Neurospora crassa OR74A: one gene and its partner. The protein of the gene in region 1 binds, or shares a complex with, the protein of each later gene. Links are inferred from orthologs where the notes say so. Each region holds a gene or a part of one and is shown on either strand. Other genes may lie near its edges.

What was found.
Region 2: the proteins of NCU06672 (region 1) and atg-8 are in contact, whole or in part, in a crystal structure (PDB 3RUI), measured with the Saccharomyces cerevisiae proteins. The link is inferred for Neurospora crassa OR74A from reciprocal best matches to the Saccharomyces cerevisiae genes ATG7 and ATG8. Residues at the interface, in NP_012041.1 of Saccharomyces cerevisiae: Gly333, Thr334, Leu335, Leu436, Val437, Asp438, Ser439, Arg440, Arg443, Ala460, Ala461, Leu462, Gly463, Asp465, Ser466, Tyr467, Leu468, Tyr486, Cys488, His489, Asp490, Val491, Val492, Ala493, Thr495, Asp496, Ser497, Asp500, Met506, Thr510; in NP_009475.1 of Saccharomyces cerevisiae: Arg28, Glu37, Lys38, Lys46, Tyr49, Leu50, Pro52, Leu55, Gly58, Gln59, Val61, Tyr62, Val63, Arg65, Lys66, Arg67, Pro72, Glu73, Lys74, Ala75, Ile76, Phe77, Phe79, Asp82, Thr83, Leu84, Pro86, Thr87, Ala88, Glu112.

The regions. Positions count from the first base shown.
Region 1 is NC_026505.1:4,205,449-4,209,369, reverse strand, and holds the start of NCU06672 (autophagy ubiquitin-activating enzyme ApgG), read left to right. Parts: upstream 1-1,256; 5' UTR 1,257-1,724; coding exon 1,725-1,921; intron 1,922-1,976; coding exon 1,977-2,094; intron 2,095-2,172; coding exon 2,173-3,474; intron 3,475-3,538; coding exon 3,539-3,921. Other genes in the region: NCU06673 (deoxycytidylate deaminase), read right to left, coding at 1-716, 781-802. UniProt on the Saccharomyces cerevisiae protein: E1-like activating enzyme involved in the 2 ubiquitin-like systems required for cytoplasm to vacuole transport (Cvt) and autophagy. Activates ATG12 for its conjugation with ATG5 and ATG8 for its conjugation with phosphatidylethanolamine.
Region 2 is NC_026502.1:3,123,608-3,126,837, forward strand, and holds atg-8 (autophagy protein 8), read left to right. Parts: upstream 1-1,067; 5' UTR 1,068-1,186; intron 1,187-1,305; 5' UTR 1,306-1,403; coding exon 1,404-1,493; intron 1,494-1,562; coding exon 1,563-1,780; intron 1,781-1,853; coding exon 1,854-1,911; 3' UTR 1,912-2,447; downstream 2,448-3,230.

The DNA of each region.
Region 1 (3,921 bases):
GGCGAGCGCCATAAAGTACGAGTCCCATGAGGGCCGGAGACGGTCCGGGTTGAGCAGGTCGAGATTCCCCAGCGTGGCGTAGAGATGCGCAAGAGAGGGCGACGTGTTGAGAAGGCGGACGGTGGCGCGCGACATCAGTGGGAGCCGGCCGGTTTGTGGGAGGAAGAGTTGCGTGTCGTTGAGGTGGGCGAAGGATTCAAAGATGAGGGGTTCTTCTTCTTCTTCTTCTTCTTCTTGTTGTTCTTCGTCTCCAGCTTCAAGAGCGGCACCGCCGGCGGAGGAGGAGTAGGACTTCATGTTGTTTCGGTGACGTTGTTGTTTTTCCCCGCGCTCACGGAAGCGGCGCCATCGGACAGTGAGGGGAGCATCGACGCTGATAAGCAGGAAGAAAGGCCGGCGGGTGTACATGTCGAGGATCCCCTCGGTAGGAATGTCCGTTGTTACCCATCGCTCGCGCCAGTGCTTAGTGATGAAGTCGAGGAGATCGTCGGCGGAGGGGAAGACATGGCCTTTCGAGCGCGCGGAGGTGGAAGATTGGGTGTGAGAGGTGATGTAGGCGGGTAAGAGCTTGTGGATTAGACCGTTGACATGATCATTTGGGGTTTCTCCGCTGACGATATCATCGATCGTCTTAGTTGTATGCTCTAGCGATACACGTGTGAAGCCATGGTGCTCAACGAGATATTGAGCGATGGTGCTCTTGCCGGCGCAAATACCTATTGACAGCGTGTAAGTGACTCAACTGGGTAGAAGATGGAAAGACAAGAGGGGCTGATGTACTGCCGCAGATGCCGATGAACATGGCGAGTTTCCTTTCAAGTCCCTTCTTGAAAGAAATGTGATAAGAGAGGAAAAAAAAAAAGGCTATAACAACATGGATCTGAGACACAATCTACAATCTATATTTACTGTGTACTCAACGATTTCTTGATGGGGTCGAATTTATGCGAATAACTGTCGTTGACCCGACAAGACGCGTCGGTCGACTTCAGGAACGCGTTTAGTGGGTGCAGCCGCTATCAGCGCACCGAGGATCTGCCGGCGGGGTATTCCCACCCATCGTGCATACCAGGAGTGGGTTACCGCTCCCGTCTTGGCCGCTCTTTCGGGTGTTGGTCAAGAACCTAATGCGGGGCACAGCTGCCTTGAGTATGTAAGCTTCAGTGATTCCCGGTGTGACAAACAGACAAACCAAGCCATTCCAGCTCCTCTTCCAACCCGTCCAGTATATATTCGCTCAGCTCATGAAAGGAGTCATTTCCGCGCTGCTACCCTTACCCATTGACACAGCTTCAGCAGTTACAGTCAAGGTGTGTTCTCTGGACCATCGTCGCCCACTTGGTTCCTATATCGGTGAGACGTTCCCGAGTGCATCCTGGCGGCGTATATAGTCCGGTGACAAGGGATCGGGTCATAGGGAAGACAGCAGATGACGCAGAACCGCTGACCACCGCCCACACTCTGGTGAACCCGTCTTCTTGATTCATTTTACGATCGCTCTCCGGAGACGACGGGACTGCTGTCAACCTTGTCGCAAAAAGAGTACATCAATAAGCTTCCAACCGTGTGCGCCAGGCTGCCAACTCAAGCCTTCTTCGACCGCTACTTCTTGGGATAGAAAACGCATGCCAACATCAGGAAAGTCGTTACATCCATTATCAGTAGTTCCCCCAATCCGAAGTCTCTAAGTGCGCATCGCGGCCGGCTGTGCGCCCCCCTCATCCATGGATCTCAAGTTTGCGACCTTCTCCTCGGAGATCGAGCTGCCCTTCTACTCGGCCCTCTTCTCATCCAAACTCGACCATGACAAGCTCGACTCTTCGGCCCGCCCTGTCTTGGGCTTATATGAACCTCGGTCGCACGCGAGTCCAGAGGCCAGTACGAGAATGCAGATCTTGGGGAGCGCCCTAACAAGCGACCAGTAAGTTCCCATGCACGCTTGCTTTTATACTTTACGAACCAAAGCCTGATGATAGGGACGAAAGCGGGCCCTTGGGCATGACGAGAGCCGAAGGCTACATTAAGAACGTCAACACGATCGAGGAATTCAAAAACACGGACAAAAATGCGATGATCAAGAAGGCGGGCGAACAGGTTCGTATCCAGTAGCTTCACTTTGGGTCGCGCCAGTGCTTGCGCTGTAACGAAAGCTTACTGACGGGCGGATAAAAGATCTGGGATGCTATTCAAGACGGCACGATATACTCCTGCCCATCGCTACTTGCCTCTTTCCGGATCCTGTCATACGCCGACCTGAAGAAGTACAAGTTTACCTACTGGTTCGCATTTCCAGCCCTACACTCGGAGCCGCAGTGGAAGCGAACAGGACCGATTGGCCGGTTGACCTCGGACGAAAGCACTGCTTTGGTCGAGCGCATAGGAACATGGCGATACATGGTTGACAGGAGAGAGCACGGATTCTTCCTCGCAAAGAAAGTGCGTCGCGAGGCCGCAGGCCCAAGATCCTCACTTGATGATCCCGGGGTCGATATCGGCTACCGTTGGGATATTGGATCTCTCAGAGACTTCGAGACGGGATTCTTCAACGACGCGGCGGAAGAGGACAGATATGTTGCTTTCGTGGACCCATCCAACTATCCCGAGTACCCTTCCTGGCCTCTTCGTAATCTCCTCATCCTTATCCGGCAAAGATACCGCCTCAACAAGGTCCAAATTCTCTGCTACCGCGACACGCAGCCTAGGAGACATGAAGCGCGGAGCACCATCCTGCCACTGGCGATGGACCAAGTTGGCGACGTGGAGTTGAAGTGTATGCCCAAGGTTACCGGCTGGGAGAGGAACGGTAACGGCGATCTCAGGCCACGGGTCGCGAATCTGGCAGAGTACATGGATCCCACTCGACTAGCAGACCAGGCAGTGGACTTGAACTTGAAGCTGATGAAGTGGCGGCTCGCGCCGAATCTTGACTTGGACGCGATCAAGAATACGAAATGCTTGTTGCTGGGCGCAGGGACACTCGGCAGCTATGTCTCGAGAAACCTGCTAGGGTGGGGAGTTCGCAAGATCACGTTTATTGATTATGGGAGCGTATCTTATTCAAACCCAGTACGGCAGCCTCTCTTCAAGTTTGAAGATTGTCACAATGGGGGAAAGCCGAAGGCTATTCAAGCTGCCGAGGCACTTAAAGAAATTTATCCAGGAGTTGATGTAGAGGGCTACGCACTCTCTGTTCCGATGCTGGACCACGCGATCCACAACGAGGCAAAAACCAAAGCAGACTTTGACAAGCTGAAGGAGTTAATCGATTCACACGATGCGATCTTCCTCCTCATGGACACGCGCGAGTCCCGATGGCTGCCCACACTGATGGGCAAAGCTGCGAACAAGATCGTGATGAATGCGGCACTCGGATTCGACACCTACGTTGTCATGCGACATGGTGCGGCGCCGAACGACGGCAGTGAAGAGACCCTTGGATGTTATTTTTGCAACGACGTAGTAGTTGCTGCCGATGTAAGGATCTGCTAATTCATCCAAAGCGAGTTGTGGAAAGCTGCTAACCAAGTCTACAATCCAGTCGATGAAAGACCAAACGCTCGACCAACAATGTACCGTCACCCGTCCCGGCGTGGCAGCCATCGCTTCGGCCCTCCTCGTCGAGCTTCTCACTAGCATTTTGCAGCACCCGCTCAAGCAACACGCGCCCGCGCCCGTCTCAACCGGCACCGGCTCTGCCGTCTCGTACGAGCGCGATCCCCCTGACCATCCCCTCGGTCTTGTCCCGCACCAGGTCCGCGGTTTCCTATCCAACTTCCAGAACATGGTTATACGCGGCAAGTCGTACCCGCAGTGCAGCGCCTGCAGCAAGCCCATCCTCGACGCATACAAGGAGGGCGGATGGGAGTTTGTCAAGACGGCGCTGGCTAGTCGGGACTATGTAGCTGAGCTGAGTGGGCTGGC
Region 2 (3,230 bases), on another chromosome or scaffold:
ATGGACGGGGAACCGGACCCTGAGGAGCGAGATGTCCACTTTTGGTGCTGCACGCACTCCGGGAGCGACCGGAAAAGCCACCTAGGCGGACACCGAAAACGGTACCTGATAATAAACACACGGGCCCAGGTCCCATTGATGGCGGGGCAAATGGTCAGCTCCGATCGGACTTCAGTTGTAGGGAGGCCCGGGAGGAGCTCCAGGATAAAGCTTCATTGCCGATAGGAGACTACTTATCATGGATAAGATATACCAAATGCGAACAAGCGGAGAGAATGACGACTTCGCAGTGGTGACATCCATGACCTGGTCCTCCGTAGGTCTTTAATAGTGTAGAGGTACCTAGGTAGACGGCAGGCGAACAAAGCGGTCAACAAGCTGCCCGTGCAAGTTCGAGACGCTGGCCAAGGCGATGGAACCGTCCACGCCCTTCTTAGTAAAATGCGGTCTACACACGTTCAACGAACCGGGAAGCCAAAGGATCACGGCCACGAGGCTGCCCTTGGAACGGAAAGGAGGTTTACAATGCGCCCTTCTTCGGGCCATCCTTTTGTCTTGTCCATGTGCCGCTGATACAAGTGGAAGGTATCATCAACCTAGGACTTGGTAATGTGTACTACAGTAGTGTACATGGAACGAGAGATAGGAGGCGGATACGGACCTAGTGCTGCGTCATTGCTAGGTACATACCTCCACGCCGCCCCACTGATGGCCAAGAGGTACCGTTCAGGTACCGCTCCTAGCTGAGTGCCGGGCACGCCTTCGCCTTGAAATGCCCCTGGAATGCCACTGAAAAGGCAGTGACCTGTTAAGCTTGACCATGTGAGCGACGGCCAGTGACCCATCTGATTCACCGACTGGGAGCGAGCTAAGCCCAATCGAGGATCGACTCTCGCTTTAGTCATCTGGTCAGCCCCGCCTCCGCCTGCTGGTCACCCGCTTAGTGTTCAGGTTGTCCTGGCGTGCCCGTCCAGGGCCTTTGACCCGTGCTGCGCAGACAGGCGGGCAGGCGCCAACTGGACGCGGCCGATAGGCAACACTGCCTGGCAACCTACCTACTAACATACCTTACATCGATGGTCAAAGAGGTACATCAACCCTTCTTCCCCCTCTTCATCCTCTTGCCGTTTCTTACCTCTGACATCTCTCCCCAGCTTCCTCATTTCATCACACGCCAGTCATCAAGGTATGTTCTGCATTTCCAGCCGGCCAACACTGATTCTGCTCCTTGTGGAAGCCATCCATGGTCCATCTCCCTTTCAATAGCCGCTTCTTCCGACTAACACCGGATTCCGTCTATCGCAGACATCGTCTTATCCATCCATCGTATCCACGCTTGTAGTCAATCTCAAAGCCAAACACCTATCACCGCATCTTCCACATTATCAACCCAAACCGCCAAAATGAGATCCAAGTTCAAGGACGAGCACCCCTTCGAGAAGCGCAAGGCTGAGGCCGAGCGTATTCGCCAAAAGTACTCCGACCGTATTCCCGTAAGCATCCCCCATCCGGACGATCCCGCAGTCACCGCCCTTATCCCTAACTAACACATGTCGCCACAGGTTATCTGCGAAAAGGTCGAGAAGAGTGATATCGCTACCATCGATAAGAAGAAGTACCTCGTACCGGCGGACCTCACCGTGGGCCAGTTCGTTTACGTCATCCGCAAGCGCATCAAGCTGTCGCCCGAGAAGGCCATCTTCATCTTCGTAGATGAGGTCCTTCCTCCAACCGCTGCTCTCATGAGCAGCATCTACGAGGAGCACAAGGATGAGGATGGGTACGTGGCAGCCTCCATCCCCCATCATTTTTTTTTCCAACTGTAACCCAGACTAACGTGACTACTACCACAGTTTCCTCTACATCACATACTCGGGCGAGAACACCTTCGGCGACTTCGAGACTGCGTAATCATATCCTCTCTATCGTTTTGCTTTAGACGTTGTGGGCGTTTTGGGATTCATACACGATTACTGGATCAATGAGCGGGTTGGTGGGCTGTGCATCATGTTGTTTCTGCTGGGTTTATATCCTTAGGGTCACGTTGGCTGAAGAGGGGGAGGGCTTGCTACGACAGAAGGGACGATGGGACTGTGCTGTTGGGGTCTGGACTTAGGTGCCACCTGCAGCCGTATGAAAGTGAAGTCCCCTTTACTTTGCTTCCCGGTGTGCTTTGGTCTAGAGACAGCATCATTTGCCGTTGGATTGCCCGGTTCACAAATCAATGTTACCCTCATTCTCTATGCCCTTTTTCACCACGCCGGTGACTTACATCCCTTGTTGAACCCCTCCGAACATGAACCTTGGATACATGGCCGCAATGGAGGCACATCACGAGGACGGTAGTTCCATACGTGGATATCACGAGGAAGCACGTAGCTTATAGAATATACGATAGGTATTACACGTATCCTAGCTGGGTATCGTTACACTGGTTGTCATGGTTGATGGTCTCTGTGTATAATGACGCTTGGTTAAATCCATTGTGTGTTGAGCTAACTGTTGGTCTTCCCAGTTCTTCTGAACCGATTTGATGAAATCACGGAGGACTCCTACGACAGTGTCGCCGTCGGTACAAACTCGCCAAACTCGTATATCCGATTCTGGCAGTCTTAGACCAACTTCATGCTTCGCCAATACAAGAAAGATGTGCCGACTACTTGGCATTGCATAGGTCTGCAGCCTAACCTCCAGGGGCAACTCCCAAGACACTCAAAGTAACCTGCCTCGGCGCATGACTGACACGTTTTCATCAACTTCCTCTGTCCTCTACAAAATTAACTTCACATCGCTGTTCAAACATTACATCAAATTTGATAGTTATATTGTCTTCTACTATAACCAGTCATCACAAAACTTCGTCTGATCATGATCATGTGGGGTCAAAACAATGGGCTGTGGCTGCAGCAATAACTGAAACAACAAAGGGCTATACGTGCGGGATGAGTGAGAAAGTTGAAAGACAAACAATGAATGGTTAACGATGCTGATTGCTACAAGTTCATCCATAGTGAATATCAGTTGTAGGGGTGTGAGTGTGAGTGGCAGGATCGAACGCACAATTGAAAGGGAATTGTGGGTGTCCAAGTGATAGAAGTAGAGAAAAGAAGGGAAAAAGAAAATCAGTGACATCATGGAGATAAGAGACACGGAGTAGACTATTCTACACCTTTATTCGGTAGAAGCCTTAAACGCAAGAAATGAATAAATGAGCTGTATTATGTTTACCT